3 linked regions of the Pelodiscus sinensis genome follow. The protein of the gene in region 3 interacts with the protein of the main gene of each other region in a pairwise test. Links are inferred from orthologs where the notes say so. Each region holds a gene or a part of one and is shown on either strand. Other genes may lie near its edges. The genes, in order: ataxin-1-like, BHLHE40 and HIVEP1.

Region 1 (7,500 bases), on a different chromosome or scaffold from region 3:
CAACACATTTGCCTCTGATGTGTAGCAACAGCTGCATCAGTATCAGAGGCAGGAACACAGGGGTGGGGAGGGCAGGCAGCTCCACAGGATACTGTGCTCATGGGGAGCCAGCTTAAAAGGTAGCTCCCCACAGACACCAGCTCCTGCCTCCCCATCCTTGCTGCCTCTGATGTAGAAGCATCAGGGGGAAGGGATATGCATGCAGCCATTAGGATTAACCATTAAGCAGAGGCTTATTGGTTAATCATTTATACAACTATGTGCTAGCATCCCTAGTAAAACTCACTCAGTTATCTAGCTCTCTGTTTAACAGGCAAAGTGCACAGACATTTTCATTATTTAAATGAACTATGCAATTTAGGCTATCTTTAGGAGATGCTGCAAAAATCTTCCTCTGAAAAAGACCTTTGCAACAGGGCTACCTCCTTTTAACTGAACATCCCCACCACTCAAAAACCTGTAACAGACAAACCAAAAAAGCTATGCATTCAGAGCAGGCTTTTTTACCTCAGGGGAAGAAGGAACCAGTCCACTAGGACTTTGCTATTGGTATTATGTGGAAAGTGCTCAGTTACTAGACTAAAGCAACTAGCTATACAGACAGCCCGGGTTACATGGATCCGACTTACATCGGATCGCTACTTACAAATGGGGTGAGGCAACCCCACACTAGCTGCTTCCCCCCAGCAGACCAGGGAGACGCAGAGCGACTTTTCTCAGCAGACACCTCAGCTTGAGAATAAAGGACTGAGGGAAGTGAGGTGTGGGAGAATAAAACTGAGCTCTGGAGAAATGTTTGGCTAGAGTTTCCCCTACAATATGTACCAGTTCCGACTTACATACAAATTCAACTTAAGAACAAACCTACAGTCCCTATCTTGTACATAACCCAGGGCCTGCCTGTACTTTAAACCTTACAATACAGATCTTAAGTCCCATTAACTTGGTTCCTCAGCCATTTTACCCATGGCCGCTCTTCAGCGTCCTCCATTGTCAACACAGGATATATGTATATATGGCACACCACACTGTGTAAGCAGCAATGGCTTATTACAGGGACAATACCAAATTGAAAATTATCCCATTGAAATAGTTACAGGTAGGCTCATATTCATAGAAATGCAGAGCTAGAAGCCCTATATGTGCAGAAGCAGGTTAAAGTAAACCTAAGCCATTCCTGACAGATGTTTCTTTTAACCTGTCCTTAAAACCTCCAGCAATGGAGGATCCACAACTTCCCCGTAGGCATGAGTCCCCTGCCAAATTCTGTCATTTTGCAAATATTTTCTTATCCTTAAAGGTATTCTTCTCTTCCTGATGCTGAGTGACAAGTCCATGAGAACAAGAGCAGCAATGAAAGTGACTAGCCTGAAAATGCTATCAAATACATGTCAAATTAACTTTTTGTCTAATCTTATTCAGTTATATCACAGGTTGTGGATGGCCCAGACAGCTGGCAGGCCATTTAGTGGTAGCTTCTTGTCTCCAGCTGTTCCACTACACTTGAAATTGGCTAGACTACAACACCTGCCTACTATTACTCCTATACCTGAATAATTTCACAACGTTTCAACCAGAGGCTATTCAGCTTTGGGAATCTTTGAATGTATCACAGTACTCTCAATGTTACTTATACAAATAGTAGCAAAAACATTCAGACAGATGCAATGTTTCAATTGCCAGAGTCTCTAGATACTATAGACTGCCAGGAGCGAGCAAGGTTAGTTACTGTGAATCCTCTTGTGCACCCCCCACCTGTGCAGGCAGGTCCCTTTATTTCGGAAGCGCTGGATGAACTGTCCATGTCAGATTAAAATACGGGGAGCATTTAGGCTCCGAGCGCTGCCCTGGGGGGACTCCCCGCAGCTCAGCGTCGCTCAACAGCACAGTCAACATGTCTGCCCCGGTCTCCGTAGCCCCGACCCCTCTCCGCGCTTGCGTCCGCCCGCCCGTCCCCGCCCCGGCCCCGCAGGGCTGCGAGCGCCCTGGACACGCGCTGGCGGGATGCTCGGGGCACACTGCAGCGCCCCCCCCCCGAGCCCCGCCCCGCCTCAGCCCCCCCCGGGCCCGGCACAGCGCCCCCCCCCGGCCCCGCCCCGCCTCAGCCCCCCCCGGGCCCGGCACAGCGCCCCCCCCCCCCGGGCCCCGCCCCGCCTCAGCCCCCCCCCGGGCCCGGCACAGCGCCCCCCCCGGGCCCCGCCCCGCCTCAGCCCCCCCGGGCCCGGCACAGCGCCCCCCCCCGGGCCCCGCCCCGCCTCAGCCCCCCCGGGCCCGGCACAGCGCCCCCCCCCGGGCCCCGCCCCGCCTCAGCCCCCCCCGGGCCCGACACAGCGCCCCCCCCCGGGCCCCGCCCCGCCTCAGCCCCCCCGGGCCCGGCACAGCGCCCCCCCCCGGGCCCCGCCCCGCCTCAGGCCCCCCCGGGCCCGGCACAGCGCCCCCCCCCCGGGCCCCGCCCCGCCTCAGCCCCCCCCGGGCCCGGCACAGCGCCCCCCCCCGGGCCCCGCCCCGCCTCAGCCCCCCCCGGGCCCGGCACAGCGCCCCCCCCCGGCCCGCTCGCCTCAGCCCCCCCCGGGCCGCGCCGCGCGGGGCCCAGCGCCGTGAGGGAGCCGCCCCAGGCCGGGCCCGCCACCCCGCGGCCTCCGGGCAGCAGCGCCGCCGCCCCACTCACCGGCCGGGCAGCAGCAGGAGCCAGGCGCCAAAATGGCGGCGGCGGCGGCGCAGCCTCAGCCCCTCCCGCCGGCGGAGCGATCCGCAGGAGCGGGGCTCGCCGCCATGTCGCACCGGCCCGCGCGGGGGCTGCCGGACCCCTGAGGCGGGCGGGGGCGGGGCGCGCCCCGGCACTACTTTACCTGGTGGAGGGATCCGCGCGCAGCCGTCTGACCCTACGTGGAGTCACGCAGCCGGAGTCACTCGGCCGCGCGGCCCCGCCCCTCTGCGCCCCGCCTCGCGCTGCCCGGCCGCCGGCCAGGCCCGCCCCCAGTGCCGAGCCGCCCCCTCATTGGCCCCGCTCCCAGTGCCGAACTGCTCCTGGCCCCGCCCCCAGCTCCCACCCTATTGGCCCCGCCCCCAGTGCTGTACTGCTCCTGGCCCCGCCCCCAGTGCCGAGCCGCCCCCTCATTGGCCCCGCCCCCAGTGCTGTACTGCTCCTGGCCCCGCCCCCAGCTCCCACCCTATTGGCCCCGCCCCCAGCGTCTTACTGCTCCTGGCCCCACCCCCAGCTCCCACCCTATTGGCCCCGCCCCCAGCGTCTTACTGCTCCTGGCCCCACCCCCAGTGCCGAGCCGCCCCCCCATTGGCCCCGCCCCCAGTGCCGAACTGCTCCTGGCCCCGCCCCCAATGCCGAGCCGCCCCCCCATTGGCCCCGCCCCCAGTGCCGAACTGCTCCTGGCCCCGCCCCCAGTGCCGAGCCGCCCCCCATTGGCCCCGCCCCCAGTGCCGAACTGCTCCTGGCCCCGCCCCCAGTGCCGAGCCGCCCCTCATTGGCCCCGCCCCCAGTGCCGAACTGCTCCTGGCCCCGCCCCCAATGCCGAGCCGCCCCCCCATTGGCCCCGCCCCCAGTGCCAAACTGCTCCTGGCCCCGCCCCCAGTGCCAAGCCGCCCCTCATTGGCCCCGCCCCCAGTGCCGAACTGCTCCTGGCCCCGCCCCCAGCTCCCACCCTATTGGCCCCGCCCCGAACGTCTTACTGCTCCTGGCCCCACCCCCAGTGCCGAACCGCTCCTGACTCCACCCCCAGCGTCTTACTGCTCCAGGCTCCGCCCCCAGTGCCCACCCTACTGGCCGCGCCCCCAGCACCAAACCACCTCTGGCCCCACCCCCAGCACCCACCTTACTAGCACCGCCCCCAGCGCTGTACTGCTCCTGGCCCCGCCCCCGGCACCGAACCGCCTTTTGCCGCTCCCGAACCTCCCAGACTATTGGCCATGCCCCTCCCCCCTTCCAAACTGCTTCTTGCCCCGCCCCCAGCGCTGTATTGGTCCCACCCCCAGCCCTGTACTACTCCTGGCCCCACCCCCAGCTCCCACACAATTGGTCCTGCCCCCAGAGTCTTATTGCTCCTGGCCCCGCCCCCAGTGCCCACCTTACTGGCCCCACCCCCAGCGCTCTACTGCTCCTGGTCCCGCTCCCAGCACCCACGTTATGGGCTCTGCCCCAGCGCTGTACTGCCCTTAGGCTCGCCCCCAGCACACAACCTGGCCGCTAGTGTTTGGCTGTTCCAAAGGGGGCGGGGCGTGTCCGTGTCCAGGGAGGCTATGCATCGGGGATACACGGTGGCTTCAGCCAGGGGTGGTTCTGGGGAGCGGCTGGGCGGTCCCTGGGCGGCCTTGTGGGCTGGTGGCGGCAGTGCTTTTGGGCCTGGCAGTGGAAGGTCCGTGGCTTTGGAGCGCCAGAATTCTTCTTGGCCTGTCATGGCTCTTGCCACGCCGGCCAGCGACAAGGCAGCACTGCCAGGACTGATGCCGCGTAGCTGCTGGTGCAGCAGCTGTAACAATCGTCTTGGCAAAATGCCAAACATGCAAACAACCCCCTCGGCCTCTGGGGCAGCATTGACTGGTGTCCTTGTGAGCCGGGGTATTGCAGGGACAAACAGGCCACCCCTTGGGGGTGATTACCAGGGCCATGAGAAGGCCACTGCCACCCTCCTTCTTGCTCTCTGGGGCTTCTGCTGGGCCAGCTCCCTGGACCGCAGAGCTGAGACTCACAGCCCCCTGAGAAGCAGGGCAGACACTGAATCTCTTCAGGTCCTAGGAAAATGCAGTTTTGGGCCCAGCTTCCTGAGATCCCACTCCCCAAATGGGATCAAAGCCCCAAATGAATTATGTAGGTAAGCCCCCTTTAGCAATGAAAGGGGGGATGTGCACACTCACTGCTCCCACAGGGAATAATTATTGACTCGGGTTTGTTAGAAAATAAAAAGGATTTTATGAAGTACAAGCAGTAGGATTTAAGTGGTGATAGGTGAGAACAGGCAGAGGAAAGTAGATTATAAACTCAAAAGAAGAGAAAAGGCTTAGCTACTTCTCCCTAAATTGTAGGGTCGCCTGATGGTTTCAACAAAAATCCCGGACACACTTGACATTACATCACAATCTACATTACATCTGATTTAGAAAATACTGGATAATTTATATTTTCTCATTTCTATGTAAGCAGGGGCTGAACCACTGCTTGCTATCAGCCAGCTAAAAGAAGAGAGCTGCCCTGGGGGTGGGTATGCTCACTCTAATTGTTTAGCTCTGCAAGATAATTGATATGTAAATATAGCTCATACCGAGATGGAGAAGGAATCCGAGGTGTGGTTATGTAAATCCAATTCAGCCAGGGCTGATGGAGGATCGGTTGTTAGAATGGAATGTGGTGTATTCTAACTAATTTGGGCTGTTGTGGGGGGTCACAAATCATGTTACCCCAAAATGTGGGAACTGTAAAATATGACACTCACCCAACCAAGTGAGTTATAAGATCAAGAACACATATTCCTGTGCATCCAGAAATATAATCTATGCTATCATGTGCCGAAAGTGTCTGTCTGCTTTGTACATTGGACAAACGTCTCAGACACTTCGCCAAAGGATCAATGCCCACAAAACAGACATTAGACAGGATCACAAAGAAAAACCAGTTTCTTGCCAGTTCAACCAGAAAGGACATTGTCTCAATGACTTGATTACCTGCATCCTGCTTCAAAGACCTTTTAAGAATACACTTGAAAGAGAATCCTCTGAACTGTCATTCATGCTTAAATTCGACACTTTACACTCAAATTTGAATAAAGGTGCTAATTATCTTACCCATTACAAAGATAGTTTCCACAATTATCACCTCTAATAATGTTAGCTCACAGACATTTACCTTCCCCCCTCTTTCCCCTCCTCCATCCCCCTTCTGTTCTGAAATTTGATTTGTCCTTTTCATATGTGTTCATCTTTTTTTAATTGTATCCTTTGGTATATATGGTTGTGACAATTTTCTTCCACTATTTGATCTGAGGAAGTGGGTCTGGCCCACGAAAGCTCATCATCTAATAAACCATCTTGTTAGTCTTTAAAGTGCTACATAGTCCTGTTTTTTGTTTCAGCTGCACCAGACTAACATGGCTACATTTCAACCACTGTTAGGTCATTAGAGCTTTGAAATTCAACCCTGTATTAGAGAATTAAGAGTAAGTACCAATTGTATTTGTGTGTTTACCTACATCTAGTCAAATGTTAACCCTGGAGCCAGATTAGGTTGCAGCTACTAGTTCACTCCCAGTTACCTCCGTGACACTACGGATTTCCTGAGAAAACTACAATGCATTGGTGATCTTCCAGAAAACACCATCCTAGCCACTGTGGATGTAGAGGCTCTCTACACAAACATCCCACAGGCAGATGGAGTACAAGCTGTCAGGAACAGTATTCCTGATGATGCCACAGCACAACTGGTGGCTGAACTCTGTGAATTTATCCTCACACACAACTATTTCAGATGGTGACGATATATACCTCCAGACCAGTGGCACTGCTATGGGCACCCACATGGCCCCACAATACGCCAACATTTTTATGGCTGACCTGGAACAATGCTTCCTCAGCTCTCGTCTACTTACGCCCCTTCTCTACCTACGCTACATCGATGACATCTTCATCATCTGGACCCATGGGAAGGAGACTCTGGAAGAATTTCACCACGATTTCAACAGCTTCCACCCCACCATCAACCTCAGCATGGACCAGTCTACACGGGAGGTCCATTTCCTGGACACCATGGTGCAAATAAGTGACGGTCACATCAATACTATCCTATACCGAAAGCCTACCGAGCTATACTTACCTGCATGCCTCCAACATCCATCCCGGACACACCACACGATCCATTGTTTACAGCCAAGCACTGAGGTAAAACCGCATATGCTCCAAACCCTCAGACAGAGACCTACACCTACAAGATCTTCAACAAGCATTCTGTATACTACAATACACACAAGGAAGTGAGGAGACAGATTGACAGAGCCAGACATGTACCCAGAAGCCTCCTGCTACGGGACAAGCCTAAGAAAGAAACTAACAGAACACCACTGGCCATCACCTACAGTCCCCAGCTAAAACCTCTCCAACGCATCATTAGTGATCTACAACCCATCCTGGACAATGATCCCTCACTTTCACAGGCCTTGGGAGGTAGGCCAGTCCTTGCCCACAGACAACCCGCCAACCTGAAACATATTCTCACCAGCAACTACACACTGCACCATAATAACTCGAACTCAGGAACCAATCCTTGCAACAAACCTCGGTGCCAACTCTGCCCACATATATACACCAGCAACACCATCACAGGACCTAACCAGATCAGCCATACTGTCACTGGTACATTCTCCTGCATATCTATTAACGTAATATACGCCATCATGTGCCAACAATGCCCCACTGCTATATACATCGGCCAAACTGGACAGTCCCTACGTAAAAGAATCAATGGACACAAATCTGATATTAGGAATGGCAACATACAAAAAC
Region 2 (7,396 bases), on a different chromosome or scaffold from region 3:
AATGGGTATATAAACATGTTTTTGATCCTATATTTATTGTATGTGGCCACCAGGACAGACACTAGAGTTTAGGGAGAAAATAGCAAAAGGCAGCACAGTGAATAAGCCTTGGTATCACCTCAGAAAGACATCAGTTCCAAAGTGATTTGCAAGAAATATCTGGCTCATCTGCAGCTAATGAAAATTGAGTACAAAGGGCCCAAATCGTCCCAAATCAATTGCATGCACCTGGGGAGCGGCGGGGTTGGTCTAAACTTTGGGAAGTGATATTGGGTTTGGCTGTGTAATTCTGCTGCATATCTAGTGGCTGTTCAAGCAATAGCAGTCTTTTTAGAAAAACCAGTTCTATCCTGCCAGACTCAGTGTCACAAAGAAGGGGAAGGAAAAAACAGATGTAAAATACAGTGGGCCTTTAAATAGCCCACTCTTTGCAGCTCAGCTGGGTACTAACTAACTTAATGAGAAACCAAAAAGGATGTGTCAGAGAGATGTTTTCATATTTAGGGGGGGTGCAGGAATCAGGGCTTAATCCAAACCTTATTGAAGTCAATGGAATGACTCCCATCAGTTTGGGATCAAGCCCTCACAGCAAAACTGTACTATGAAATAAAATAGCTATAATCAATTTAATATACTTTAAAATTCAACTTCACAGCTAGTTATAAATTAACTGACTAGATGGATAAATGATATCTTTTCATAAATCCACATGTACATAAAGGGGGGTTTGCGTGCTAAAGAAAAAAAAAGAAACGCTTACTCCTCCCACCTCCCAAACCAAGTGTCATAAGTAGCCAGTATTTCAAAGATGTTGAAAGTAAGATCATGAGACAGTCCAGGGTTCTCACATGATACAAGCATGACTTGAATACTCACCAGCTTGTAAACCATTCTGTAAAGCAATTATTTTCTGTTGCTGCTGCTCAATGAGATTAGTTAGTGCTTTCACATGCTTCAAGGTAAGCTCAAGAACCACAGCCTTCTCCAAATGACCTAATGTCTGGAAACAAATGGACAGGTTAGTACTTATTTTAGAGTCAGTCACGTTTCAAGGAATCTTACAAAGGTTTCAATTCCTTGCGATATATATAAGAAAAAGTGAGCTGCAATTTGGCGGACAAGGTTAAAAACGGTGTCTTTATTCAGTGAAATCTGTTGTCTTGAGCAACAATGTTAACATTTGGAGTCTGATCCACATATTATGTAAACTTAAAAAATAAAAAAGAGGGTTGCAGTGAAGGGTACAGTTACACCCTATGGGTGTTTTAGAACCAACTGCATAGCTCTCAAACAACTATTTTATTTATCTATTCTGCTGCCCCTGCTGGTATCATGACCTTAACACAGGGGGATCCAGTCAAAGGGTTTCTTTTGAACAGTGACAGGAGAGGGGTGTCCTGCAGGATGTCAGCCAAGATGGCTTTCCCCATAACTTCTGAAGAGATTTTTTTTCTTTTAATTTTAATCAAGCACTTAAGCTTTTACTCTTTTTCACACACACACTACAGAAGCAGAAGTGGCTGACCTTAAAATGTGTTGCAGAACAAGAACACAGAGAATGCAAGTATGGAAGCAATCTCTAAAGGGACTTGACTCTCAGATAAGTTAGGGATCAACTTATAAATGGCATCCAGTAAAACTTCAAAAAGAGCAAGAAGGAACATTTTCAGAGGCTCAATTTAAAAAAAAAAACAAATCCCCCCACATTCAAATCAAGCCCACAACAATCACTTTTACCTCATGATTTATTTTAATATTGCAGCAACTTAATTCACATCATCCCACCACCACCACAGATATACACTATTTAGAAATTCACAGTATCTGCAAGGAAAACCAATTGTAATAGATCCATGTGGCAACTCTGCCCAAATCATAGCCTTTTCCACTTAGATCTGCAGTGCTGAGATGAAGCCTCTAGATGGCACAGAAATCCATTAACCAAGGCACATCCCCAAAAGGAAGAGGAGTTTGGATATTAGCCAGATTTTCACTTACTGTAAGTTTGAGATGTTCTGGTAAGAGATCTTTCAGTTGGGCAATGCACTCATTAATCCTGTCACGTCTCTTCTTCTCTATCAGTCTGTGGGGCAATTTATAGGTCTCCTGGAAGCCAAAAGAAAGGAGCAATCAGACAAGACACAAGATGACTTCCTAGCACCATGGATAGACGCATGGTAAAAGGTGATCTAGAAATAAAATTAGACCTCAAGCTTCTGTGTACCCAAAAGTATTGTATGTAACAGCTACTGAAATAAATATTTTCCCCTCTCATCTTCTGAGCCCCAGATTCAAGGACAATAGGTGTGAGCGCAACAGCCTCATAACATTAAAAAAAAAAAAACTTTGATTCAAACTGTCTAATGTTAAAACAACCCTCCTAAATCCCTCAGCAAATTTTGTAAGAGTTCAGCTTTATACAAAAAGCAGATTTAAAAAAAACCCGAAAGACAGACACTAATGCATAAAACTTCATTTTTTCAAATGAACACAGGTGTTAACTAACAATGCAAAGATTCAGCAATTCCTCCATTTACCTTATTATCTTCACTTCTTTTTAACCCTCTTCTGGGCTTGTAAACTTGATACATGTGAGAAAAGGCCAGCCTGCACAGATGACATAAAAGTGCGATGAATTAGCATGATTAGCCCTACACACTGAGACAGACACACACACACACGGGGCAAATGCAGAACGCAAGGAGCCCGACAGGCACAGGGGGAAGGACCAGGAGTTCCAACCAAACCCAGCAGGCAGACTGCGCCCCGGGAGGTGGCGGGGAGCACTGGCCCAAAGAAGAGGCATCTTACCCGGGCATCTCGTTGCTCTCCAGCGCAGGCAGCTTGCCCAGGCAGGCAGGAGGCGGCTGGGCGCTGGGGATCATTTCCATTGCAGCGGGGGGCTCTGCTGCAACTTAATTCCGGCCGAAAGCAGCGAAACGGGTCCTCGGAGAGCCCCGGGGCGCGGGCAGGTGGCAGAGCCGCGGGCGTCGGGACGGGCTGCGGGGCTGCAGGCGGCTACGGCGCGCGGACCATCTCGGTGCGGGGCGCGAGCTGAGGAGTCGCGGGCAGGCGGCAGGCTGGGTTAAATGGGAGCGAGTGGGTGGCTGGCGCTACGTGTTCTACCCTGTGACTCCCGGCACGTCTGTCTGGGCCGGGGCGGGAGAGCCCTGCCTTCCCCCATCACATGAGCCTCACGTGTCGGACAGCGCTCCGGCCTCGCCTCCCCCCTTCCCCGCCCTGCCTGCCTGCCTGCCTTCCCCGGCGCCCCGCCGCGCACGCCAGGCGGCGGCAGCAGCAGCCCGAACGTGATGGGGCGACAGCGACAGCGACAGCTCCGCCGGGCCGGGCTGCGAGGGGAGCGAGCGAAGGGGCTCGGGCTGCCCTGCCCGCCTCCGCGGCGCCTCCCTCCTTCGCCCCGGCCCTGCGGAGTCGTGGGCAAGTGGCACCTGCGGGCCCTGGCTTCTCTGCCTTCACCCTGGGGTGGCGCAGCGGGGAGGCAGGCTGGTTGGGTGTCCCCGCCCGGGGGTGTCACAGGTGGCGGGGGGGGAGGGCATGAGGGACAGAAGAGGGGGTGTCCAGAGGTGGGGTGGGGAGGGTTGGGTGATGGCCAGTGCTCCCTGTAAGCTGAGAAATGGGTTGCACACCATGGGGAGGTTCAAAGGCAGCACAGCCCCCACCGCTGGCAGCATGTGTGCCTGTTGGTGGTGCACATCCGCACATGCCGCAGTGCTCATAAAACTTATTCTGCCCCGCTGCGGAAAAAGAATAGAGGTAACATTGCTGGGGAGACCCCCATGTAGAACTGCAGAGATCTCACAGAAGAGGGTGTTGTGGCAGGTCTAGGGGTTATGGAGACCAGACGCTCCAGATGCTCCCTCCTAATGCCCTTCCCTAGTCAGAAGACAACTTCTTTGGCCTCAAGCACCTCACTTAACTACTGAGCTCTAGCTTCCCTCTCAGTAAAATAGGAGGTTGGAGAGTAAAACCTAACTTATCTACCTCACAGGGGTTGTTTGGATGAATTAGTTGGTACGTGGAAAAGGCTTTTGAAGCGGCTCAGTGCCTAGCACTATTCCCAGCAGAGTGGGCAGTGCTCCAGGTTCATGGAAACCGGCAGAGGCAGAGCATGTCGGCTGCACCCGACTGCAGCGTATTTAGCTGATTCTCCATGTTCAGTGGTGTAAAACAGGACGAGGAGAAGACATTCATAAGCTGATATGCTAAAAATGCATTTTCTGAGTGCTTTTGACTGAAAATCCCAGCAAACAGCAGGGAAATGATTGGGACAAGGCCCCTGATGCCACTACAGACAAATACTTTGCCACCCACTAAAAGAAACTGGCTACCACCGCTGAGCTATTATGCAATAATAGCAGCTTTCCAGTGGGAATAGACACAGAACATGCCATATCTATTGTCAGGTAATTTAATTATTTTTTAAAGTCTGTACTTTATAGTAATGCAGTGGTTAATGGCTTGATAAAATGCAGCATAGAATTTGGCCAACAGCATTATCTTCTATGTGCATTTCTACAGTTAGAGGGAAATACCCAGGCTTGGGAATGCCGCTGAGAATAACTGGTATTAAGGGGTGCAGGGATTTGTGTGAACTCTGGCATTAGCAGAGTAGCACTCAGACATGGTCTGGGCTGAGGAGATTGCAGCTGAACCCAGGGCAAAGGCAGAGTGACCAACAATTGGAATTCAGCGGTGCGCTCCTTTGGAGCAGTTGTCCAAGTCAGTGGCTGATTTAAGACAACTGGTAATGTGACAGGCGATGTGAGGGGGAAGGAGGGGGCAGAGAAGCAGAGTATATAATTACAGCAATCTCAGGGCTGAGGCTACCGTAATTTAGGCCTGATCTACATTGAGAAAGTTTTTTATCAGCATAAGCATGTATGATTCTTTTACTGACATAAGAGCCTATTATGGGCCCACTATAAGGCACTTACCAGCAGTGTTCCCTCTAAGCCAGGGGTTTTCAAACTAGGGTCAAAGTGTTCTCTCTGTGTCTGTGGAGCTTTAGAGTAAACAAAGTGTTGCAGGTCAACCAGGGGCTTTCCCTGGCGGGTCTGTGACCCAAGTTTGAAAATCCCTGCTCTAAGTTGTGTGATTGTGCAGCCACTCAGGAGAAATTGAAATGCCGCAGGGCGCCCACAGGTAGGTTTTGTTTCTAGTGGAGGTGCACATTCTGCACATTGATGGAAAAGATTAGAGGGAGCATTGCTTACTGGTATTGCTTATTCAGCAAAGTGAAATCAGCTAAGTTTAAGCAGCAACATGTTTATGTATACATGAAACCTTTAACTGGGAACTAGGATTCCCCTGTGCAGCCTCTGAATTCCCCAAGAGCAGGAGCAGAATAGCTGAGAACTAGGACCAGCTATGAAATATTACACTCTTACCTATTTCATAGGTGTCTGGGGAGGTTTAATTCTTTGATCTTTGTCAAGCATTTAAGACTTTTGTCTGCCTGCTGTTGTACAAATGCTTAGGATGATTATAGTGAAGTGTAACTGCAAAAGCAGGCTTGTTGTTTTGAGGATATGTTGTCATTTCCTCTGCATACTAAACAAGGAGAGGACAGATCACTCCAAAGAAGGTATATTTACTAGATAAGGTAATAACAAAACCAGCCAAGGTTTATCAAAGATTTCCCTATCTCCTCTGAGAGTCCTGTGACAGTCACTGTGGCTAGAATCTTGAAGTCAGCAAAGACTTTGCTAGAGACTGGAGACAGCATTTATGTAAGAGAAGATGGCATGCTCATTTCCGGATACACTGTCATTTAAATGCATGTGTGGTGGCAAAAGTGCTAAAGGGGTTTAGAGTTGTAGACTTGTTACACTAGAAGGTGACTCAGTTAACGAAACCCTGTCAGGTCATTGTAGACCCAAAGCGGAGGTTTGGTAAAAATCTTACTTGTAGGAAAGAAAAATTCCCCTGTGGTGTCTGCAGCCTAAACAGTACAGTATAGCTACCAACCAAGAACCACAAAACAAAGCTAACTATTCTCTCACTGAGTGTTCTCTCATATGTGTTTTATAGCCCAAGCCTGCATAGGATTCACTGTCATGATCAATTCACTGATTTCAAGTCTCTGCAGCGTTGGGCCCTTCAGCCACGATCTTGCAAACTTAAGCATATATTTAAGTATATGAGTAGTCCAATTGACTTCAAAGAGACTACTGGTGCCTAAAAAGTTAAGCACGTGAATAAGCACTTGCAGGATCAGGCCCTTAAATTGAAAGCTCTTAAAAGCAGAGATTGTCTTTATTAATGTTAATCTACAGCTGTTGTTAAATAAATTCATTAACACTTATTACAAAGTGAAACTGATTAATTGGTAAAGCAGAGTTTTGTAAAGCAAACAAATAGCATAAAGAGTGGAAAAATAAATTAGGCATTAAAATCCTTTGGTTTAAAGCTCTAAGCTTATTTGTACCACAGGTGAGGGCATTTAAAAATAATGTATAGATATAGCTATTTAATTTTAAGCTTTTAACATACTTTCATTTATTCTTCTCTTACTTGTCTTTATTAAACAATAGAAATAAGTAGAGTTATGGTAGGGGATTGCTACTGGCAAATTCTAGCATTTTGGTTCAAGGGCAGATACTTTTCACCACCTCTAAGTTTTAGATTTAAAATAAAAATATATGTGGAAAAATTCATGCCCACTGGTTGTTTGACTCTTACAGGTACTTTGAGACACTACATTCCTGGAATGGGTGGTGAGCTAGAAATCAGGATCAGAGGTAATCCCCCATTATTTAGCTCTTTCACTATTGGTATGTTTGCCAAATAATGTGCCTTGTCAGGTTTCACTGATGACCTTAATGGTAGTTGCCAAGGATTTTGGATTCCCCCCTAGAAAGAGAGTCCCAAATGAAGTTATTACATTCTTGGGCATCAAGTTAGATTGTGGGAGAATTAAATTACACTTTCCTAGTGCCTGGCACAGCTTTCACGGGCTGATGCAATCATTAATTTGTCACTTTAATTTTTGTTTGCAGAGCCATTTCTCCATGGCAGATTTTTTTACAATGCCTGATTGAAGCTATAATGAAATGTTAAAAGTAATGGCATTATTTTCTAAAGCCATTAAGGGACAATCTGGCATTTCCAATGGTAGTTGTAGAGCATTTGATGCCATAGGATAACAACAATAATAACTTGTGTCCAACAGAGATTTATAGTTATTTACAGATGTTAGTAATACAGTTCTTCAAATCATTGACACTCTTAAGAATATGTGGGGAATCCAGGGAGTTAACAGACAGTAGTGGATTCAGACCTTTGGTTACTGAGGGCGGTTTTGTTTAAAATGTCTCTTACTTAATATACCCATGAAGGCCAGGCATGTGCCCATGGGCTGTAATCAAATAACTGA
Region 3 (7,282 bases):
TACATCACTAGCCAAATTTTAAAAGGCGTTGAGCATCTCTGAACATGGGATGATAATAATTAAGCTCTCACTGGAGTTTAAATGTGTAAAAAAAATACATTTCCCGTAAGTGTTAGAGGTTCAGCATGCAAGTACGTTTCAAAATTGGGACACCTCTTTGAATATATGCTTTTAGATGTCCTAGTGTTTAGTAGCAACACAAATAACGTTACATATTTATTAAAACAGCATACTTCAGTTGCCCACCAGCAATAAGATAATAAGATTTTTATTTTGCTGGGGATGGGAAATCAGATGGAAGTGGTAAAAATCGTTTAAAAACATTTGAAATTTCGTTTTCCCTCCTCAGTTTGAAATATCAGCCCTAAAACAAGCCTATATTGTGATCACCAGCAAAGCAGATTAGAGGCTAGGATTTAAAAACATAGAAGAAAGATTTAAAAACCCACAGACAGAGAGAGGCACTAAATGGTAGAGTGCGAACACAAGTTGCAAAGGGGAAAAACATGAATGAATAAAGAGGGAGGAGCCTGGGAAAACCCCTCTGCAACACGGCCGCACCGAACAAAGCGCTGCACACGTCCATCCACAAGCTGGGGGGGGAGGGACTGCAAACCGGGACTGACCCGGGGAAGAGATGCATGGGGTGGGGGACAAATGGGAAGGGCTGGGGGAGGGGGAAATCACCGGGATGCCTGCCTACTCCTTGCCACAGCCCAGCCTGCCTGGGGGCGCCTCACGCTCCCCGGCTAGGAAACAGACACGCGCGGCTGGAACAGGAGTAAAGGCGGGTTTCACACAAACCGCAGCCCCCCGGCAGTGAAATGGGGGTGGGGGACGACGGCAGCTGGAGCCAGGCCTACTGGTCCCTCCCTCCCGCCCGCCCCCATCTCCCTACCGTGGCGTGCTTGGGCGCCGCCGCGGCTCAGGGGGCGGCTCCCCGGGACCCGCTCTGGGGCTACACCCGGGTCCCCCGCGGCCAGGCTGCTCCGGGCGGGGGGGAGGGTGAGGGGGCTGGAGTCGGCCCTGCTGATGGCGGCGGCAGCCGCTAGGAAACACGGCGCCTGGGAGCCTCCTTCACTTGACAACCCCGGACAAACACAACCCGGGGCTGGCCTCCTCCCCCGCCTCAGCCGCCGTGCAAAACGCCCCCCACCCCCGCCCTACCCCGCTCACATGCACCGCCCCAGCATCCGGGCAGCCCCCCAACACACACCCCTTCCCCCAGACGAGACTCCCGCCCGTCCAGACACCCACCGCTCCAGCAGCCGCGCCCCGCCCGCACGGCGCCCCCCGCAGCCACCCAGCCCCCAGCAGGGCGCCCCCTCCCCCCGGGCAATGTCTGTCGCTCGCTCGGTCTGTCTGACACTAGTCCCGCCCCGGCGCGCAGGCAGCAGCGGGTGATGCTCCATGCACAGGGCGGGCTGGGCAGAGCCGCCCGTGACCCGGGCAAGGGCCGGGCTGCGGGGGGGGAGGCGCCCTTGGGGCGGGCTGCAGGCAGGGGGCAGCGGGCGGGCCCGGCTGGGCATGGGGTGGGGGGGGCGGTTCAGGCCAACTGGGCCGGGCCGCGGGCGGCGCAGCCATTGGGGGCTCCCTGCCCGGCCGGTCACTCACGGGGCGCAGCAGCTGGGCAGCGCGAGGGGAGGCGCGCGCGGCGGTGGCGGCGGCTCCGGGGCTGGGGCGGGGGAGGGGGAGGGGGGGTGTTTTACCTTCTCTCACTTTCTATTGCAGGAAGCGGCCCGGTCCAGTGACGTCACCGGGTCTCCCGGCCCCGCCTTCTTCCCTGCCTGCATGGGAGGGGGGAGGGGTCACTGAGGGGGTTTCCTCACAGGCTGGTGGGAAGGGACAGAAGTGAAACTAGACACGCGCCCTGGCTCACGTTGAAAAAAACTTAATCACATAAAATCCCCCAGCCAGTAAGAATTCCCTCTCCCCAGTGCCCTCCCCCATGCCCACTCAGCAAAAGTGACTTCGTGCCAGATGGCACAATGCCACGCTGGGCCTGGCCATGCCCTGTCACACCAGGGCAGATGTCGCGTTAGCCTGTGCCCCAGGGTAGTCTGCACAGTACTGGGTCCGGCTGTAAAGTGCCATGTCAGCTAAAGTCATATTAACATCACAAGCAGACTGACCAGCACGACAGCGGCGCCATGCAGCTTTGTGTCCCACACATCAATTTATTTGTGCCAGACTTCACAACAGTGTTGTCAGACTTTGGGGAGAGCCTGAGCTGATGTTGCACCATGCCACACTATGTTAGAACACGTGAGATGGTGCGGCACCAGGCTAACCTGTATCGGTGTGTGGGACCGGACATCTTATTTGGTCAGTGGGCAGAACTGGAGACATTTTCAGTCATGAAGCAGTTAATCCCAACGATTAATCCCAGCAGCAGCCACAAACTGTTAAAGTCTTATTAAAGAAAACTCTGTTTTTCCTCGGAGGAGACATGCCCAGACAGGAGTTGATTAAGAGCCTAAAGAAAAATTATTACAAATCCATTTGCATTCTCTCTCCCACCCCAACAATGCAATGCCGTGGGCACGCAGGTGCGTGTCGCACTCCCCCCTATAGCGGCCCATCCCGCCAGCACAGAGAAGACACACAAAACATACGCGCACACACTCCCATGTATGCACATAACTGGGGCTGCTGCTGACGCGGAGATCCCGGAGGTTCCTCCTTGCTGCCACTGGCAGGTCACACATGCTGCGTCCTCTTTCTCCTCTCTCTCTCTCTCTGGGGTTTCCCGTTCCCTAGCAGCTACGCCTAATCCCCTCCTCCTTCCTATTGCAACATACCGATAAAACCTCCCCATACCGAGGACACCCCACCATCCAACCCTTCCCATACAATTTCCCCCCAACGAGATTAAAAGAAGAAACTCACCCAATGCCCGCACTCTTTGCACATTCTTTCCCAGTTAACTTTTAAAATAAAGAGACAAAAGCCGAAAGTAAAAAACCTCCACTGCTGGATGTGGGCGTGAGAGGAAATACAAGGAGGAGGTGCCTAGTGCTCTCTACTGCTGCTCCCCTTTTTTGGCCCTTGCCTAGGGTTTTGCTGTTCTAGCTGTACTGCGCTGATTGGTTTACTCCATCAGCTGTTTATATAGATTTTGCCTGTGGGTCATTTTGAATGGGGAAGATCCGCGGTGAGGGATTCCTCCTTCTCTTGTTACAGGGAAGCAAAAGGAGGGGGGTTGCCATCGCCGGTTAAAAACAAACCGAAACAAAACCCTTCCCTTTTGTTTAAAACCAGAGAGCTTTTTAAAATTTAAAATACATTATGCTAAGCACTGGACCTTTTAAGTTTCTGTTGCCAGGGGAATTTTACATGAGATTTTACTTTATATCACATCAGGATCCAGCACATTTTTAACAGAACAAATCTAATTAAATGACCTCCCATTAAGTCTTACATTGTTTACTTGTGTTTCTTCAGCTATTTATATCCATCTGTTGTGTCTTGTCCTAGACTGTAAACCTTCCAGTGCAAGAGCTGACTTTTTGTTATAAATCTATACAGTGTCATCAACACAAGATCTTGGTCTAGGACTGGGCTCTCCCTCTGTGGTACTTACATAGCCTCTATTAGCATAGTTTATGAGCACCTCGCCATTTTTAGAGTATTTGTCCTCACAGCATCCGTGTAAAGCTGGAAAGTATTATTATCCTCATTTTACAAATGGAGAACTGAGGTAGAGTGACTTATCCAACAACACCCTGGGAGTTAAATCCAGGTCTCATGAGTCTCAGACTAGCACCCCAACCATCAGACCAGGCATCCTCTCTAGGACTCTCAAGTGCTAATGGAATACAAATAATAATATCACATCCCTGGCAGTAATATGTGACATACAATGCCCATTTTTCCCAAAGGCATTGGATGTTTTGGGGTTATAGTATATTTGCAAGATCATCACATAGGTTATGCTATCACTTAGGTATAGTTATTCTTATACTTAAAGAGCTGTGCAGCTACATGCTGTCGCGCTTCACTGTAGACATTACCTGCACTGACAGGCAAACCCCTTCCTCATCTCAAGGGTGTAAAAAAATCCATCTTCCTGAGGCATAATTCTTCTGCAACTTAATTCTGGCTGCACTAGGCTAGGCTGGTATAGTTACATTTCCCAGGGTTGAGAAATCCTGAAATATATTGCGATGCCAATATAAGTTCCCAGAGTAGACCAGTCCTATGCCTGTGGGTGAAACAGTGCTGTCAACCTATGTCGTCTGAATGAGATGCTCTTGGAAAGCCCATTCACCCACAGTGAATACAGAGATTTCCTGGTAACAGCCGGCACTAACTCATCAGTATCTGAAATTTTAACGTTTATGAAAAAACTGTTTTAACCCTTTGGGCACAAGTGTAATTTTTCAAATGTGAACCAATGAAGTGCTACATTCCAGAATCTGTAGACAGACAGCTCCTAGTGTCTCTACTATGCTCACAGGTTTCCCAAGCAGCATAATGAAATTGGAGACTATTACTTTAAATCCAGGAAATAGACATAAGCCTTACAAGAGCAGCATCAATTTCAGATTGCTGATTGTTGAATCACTAGCAGCAGAAGCAATGGAGCTATTCACAAAACAGGAGAAGATGAAAATAGCATACATCCCACCTTCTAGCCCATCACTGCTTCTGGAACTCAGAAGCTGCAGTGGGACTAGGTACCTACATCCTAATTTTAAAATGAATTCTTCAAGCAGTGTTCAGGGAGAGCACCATGACAGGAATCCTAGTACACTTCCAGGAGATAGGGAGTTAAATGAGCTTCTTAGCAAGGATTTGCCTCTAGACCCTTGCTGTTGAGATCCTTTCACATCTGTCTCTGGCTACTAGATTTAGTCATCTAGCTAACAGGGAATAGTAACATGGCTGGAAAAAAATTAGGAAATCTGGGTTCTGATTGTTGATATGCTGTGTGACCTTGAGCAAGTCACTTCCTCTCTTTCTGCTCTGATTTTTCCACAGTAAAGTAGAAAAATATGCATATCCACTTATGTGAAACACTTGGAAATATAAGGATGAAAAGTGATATGGAATATTCTTAGTAACAAGTATCTGGGAACTTATTCTGGCCCTGTGAATGAGGGAGATATCAAAAAAATAATCAGTGAAATGTTAAATCTCTCACTGAAACACACTGCAAACTTCTTCTCACAAAACTAAAATACTTTAAAAACTGCATCTAAAATTAGTCCCATACATAAGAGTCACCCTTCAAATGGGTGAGTTGAGAGAAGGGCTACTAAAGCATATTTTACTTTTGACTCTCTATTGCATTTTCAAAAGGGACTAATTTTTAAAATTTTGATAACTTCCCGCTAGATTTATGCATAAAACATTCATATTTGACAATAGGTGATTCTGTATAAAGGTACTTTTATAATTGCTAATTGTTATTATTAATATTGCATTAGAACCTACAAGTCCTAGTCCTAAAACAGACGCACCTTGATTCTACCACAGAAAAGTATGTGGAAAGTTTAGAAACGGGAGAGGCCAGGATATAACATAAAACTTTAAATAAATCAGCATTTACCATGCCCACAGTATTTTACTTTACTGCAGTTCTTATTAAATATGGTGAGTGTTGTGGCAAATTTAACTACCTTAGGCAGCAAATATTAATATTGCTTATATCGTTCACTGCAACATGGCATATGCATTAATCAAGCTTAGATTTGTATTTCTCTCACAGTCTTTAGTCACTCAAAACATATAAAAGCACAGACTCCTTGGATAGTGGGGGGCTTAGGCCTGATCTAGACTACACAATTAAGTCGATTTAAGGCAGATTCCATTAATCTAACTCAGTCAGCCTTGTCCTGCCCGATGTAAGTGCCCTACCATGCCTATGTAATAACTCCAACTCTACAAGAAGTGTACTGCTTATGACAGTGGAGTGAGGTTGACACAGTGTCGCTGTAGACACTGCTTTACTTACATCAGATATTAAGTGCCTTGTTAATTTCATGTTAGGAATGTGAAATTGATAAGGAAGGCAGGCAGCTAGAACCTGGCTATCCCTGGCTCTCAGTTGGCTGCACCCACCCAGCTCCCCATTCACGGAGGCAAGAAGCCCAGAAGCTTGTGTGACTGCCCCCTTACTCCCAGCAGAAATCAGGGGGGTTAGGAATCCAGGGAGGCAGCTGGGCTCCTTGTGCAGAGCTGCATGGAGCTGAGAGTCTCTTCAGTTGGTGGAAGTGCTGCTGGTCAGGACGTGCACCACTGACAGAAGGAGGTCAGTGTGGACATCAGCCACCACAGTAATTACTGCATTGGCTGTAAATTGACCTAACATAGTTTGATTTAAGTCTGTAGTAAAGACATGCACTAGGCAGGCATAGAATAAACCAGAATATAATTAACTGATATGCCATTATATCTTAAATCAGTAAGGCCATGTCTAGACTACATCCCTCTGTTGGCAGAGGGATGTAAATGAAGCACTTTGAAAGTGTAAATGAAGCAGGGATTTAAATATCCCATGCTTCATTTGTATAATTATGTAATGGCGCTCTTTTGGAAAAAAGTGCTATTTCGAAATTGAAACCGCAGTCTAGACACGGTTCTTTCGAAAGCAGAGCACTTTTTCGAAAGATCCTGTAAACCTCATTTTGGCTACGTCTAGACTACAGCCCTCTGTCGGCAGAGGGATGTAAATGAAGCACTTCGAAAGTGCAAATGAAGCAGAGATTTAAATATCCCATGCTTCATTTGCATAATCACGTAATGGCGCTCTTTTGAAAAAGCGCTATTTCGAAATTGAAACCTCAGTCAAGACGCGGTTCTTTCAAAAACGGGGCGCTGTAAATCTGAGGTTTACAGGATCTTTCGAAACAGCGCCCCATTTTTGAAAATCATATCTAGACTGTGGTTTCAATTTCGAAAGAGCCCTTTTTCGAAAGAGCGCCATTATGTAATTATGCAAATGAAGCACGGGATATTTAAATCCCCGCTTCATTTTCACTTTCAAAGTGCTTCATTTACATCCCTCTGCTGACATAGGGATGTAGTCTAGACACACCCTGGCTGTGTCTACACTGGGCCACTTATTCTGGAAAATCAGCTGCTTTTCCGGAATAAGCTGCGAGCTGTCTACACTGGCCCTTGAATTTCCGGAAAAGCAACAATGCTCTACCGTACAAAATCAGCCGCTATTCTGGAAAAGCTATGCTGCTCCCGCTCGGGCATAAGTCCTTATTCTGGAACACTGTTCCGGAAAAGAGCCAGTGTAGACAGCCCAGTAGTCTTTTCCGGAAAAAAG

Evidence for each region.
Region 1: the proteins of HIVEP1 (region 3) and ataxin-1-like interact in a two-hybrid assay, tested with the Homo sapiens proteins (2 studies listed by BioGRID). The link is inferred for Pelodiscus sinensis from reciprocal best matches to the Homo sapiens genes HIVEP1 and ATXN1L.
Region 2: the proteins of HIVEP1 (region 3) and BHLHE40 interact in a two-hybrid assay, tested with the Homo sapiens proteins (2 studies listed by BioGRID and IntAct). The link is inferred for Pelodiscus sinensis from reciprocal best matches to the Homo sapiens genes HIVEP1 and BHLHE40.

Annotation. Positions count from the first base shown.
Region 1 is NW_027466015.1:628,572-636,071, reverse strand, and holds the start of ataxin-1-like, read right to left. Parts: upstream 3,004-7,500; 5' UTR 2,850-3,003; intron 2,844-2,849; exon of another isoform or gene 2,669-2,843; intron 1,997-2,668; exon of another isoform or gene 1,756-1,996; intron 1-1,755. UniProt on the Homo sapiens protein: Chromatin-binding factor that repress Notch signaling in the absence of Notch intracellular domain by acting as a CBF1 corepressor. Binds to the HEY promoter and might assist, along with NCOR2, RBPJ-mediated repression.
Region 2 is NC_134721.1:16,270,334-16,277,729, reverse strand, and holds the start of BHLHE40 (class E basic helix-loop-helix protein 40), read right to left. Parts: upstream 3,101-7,396; 5' UTR 2,892-3,100; coding exon 2,812-2,891; intron 2,608-2,811; coding exon 2,538-2,607; intron 2,107-2,537; coding exon 1,999-2,106; intron 1,001-1,998; coding exon 877-1,000; intron 1-876. UniProt on the Homo sapiens protein: Transcriptional repressor involved in the regulation of the circadian rhythm by negatively regulating the activity of the clock genes and clock-controlled genes.
Region 3 is NC_134712.1:109,735,546-109,742,827, forward strand, and holds the start of HIVEP1 (zinc finger protein 40), read right to left. Parts: upstream 3,043-7,282; 5' UTR 2,890-3,042; intron 2,737-2,889; exon of another isoform or gene 2,616-2,736; intron 2,590-2,615; exon of another isoform or gene 1,710-2,589; intron 1,262-1,709; exon of another isoform or gene 899-1,261; intron 1-898.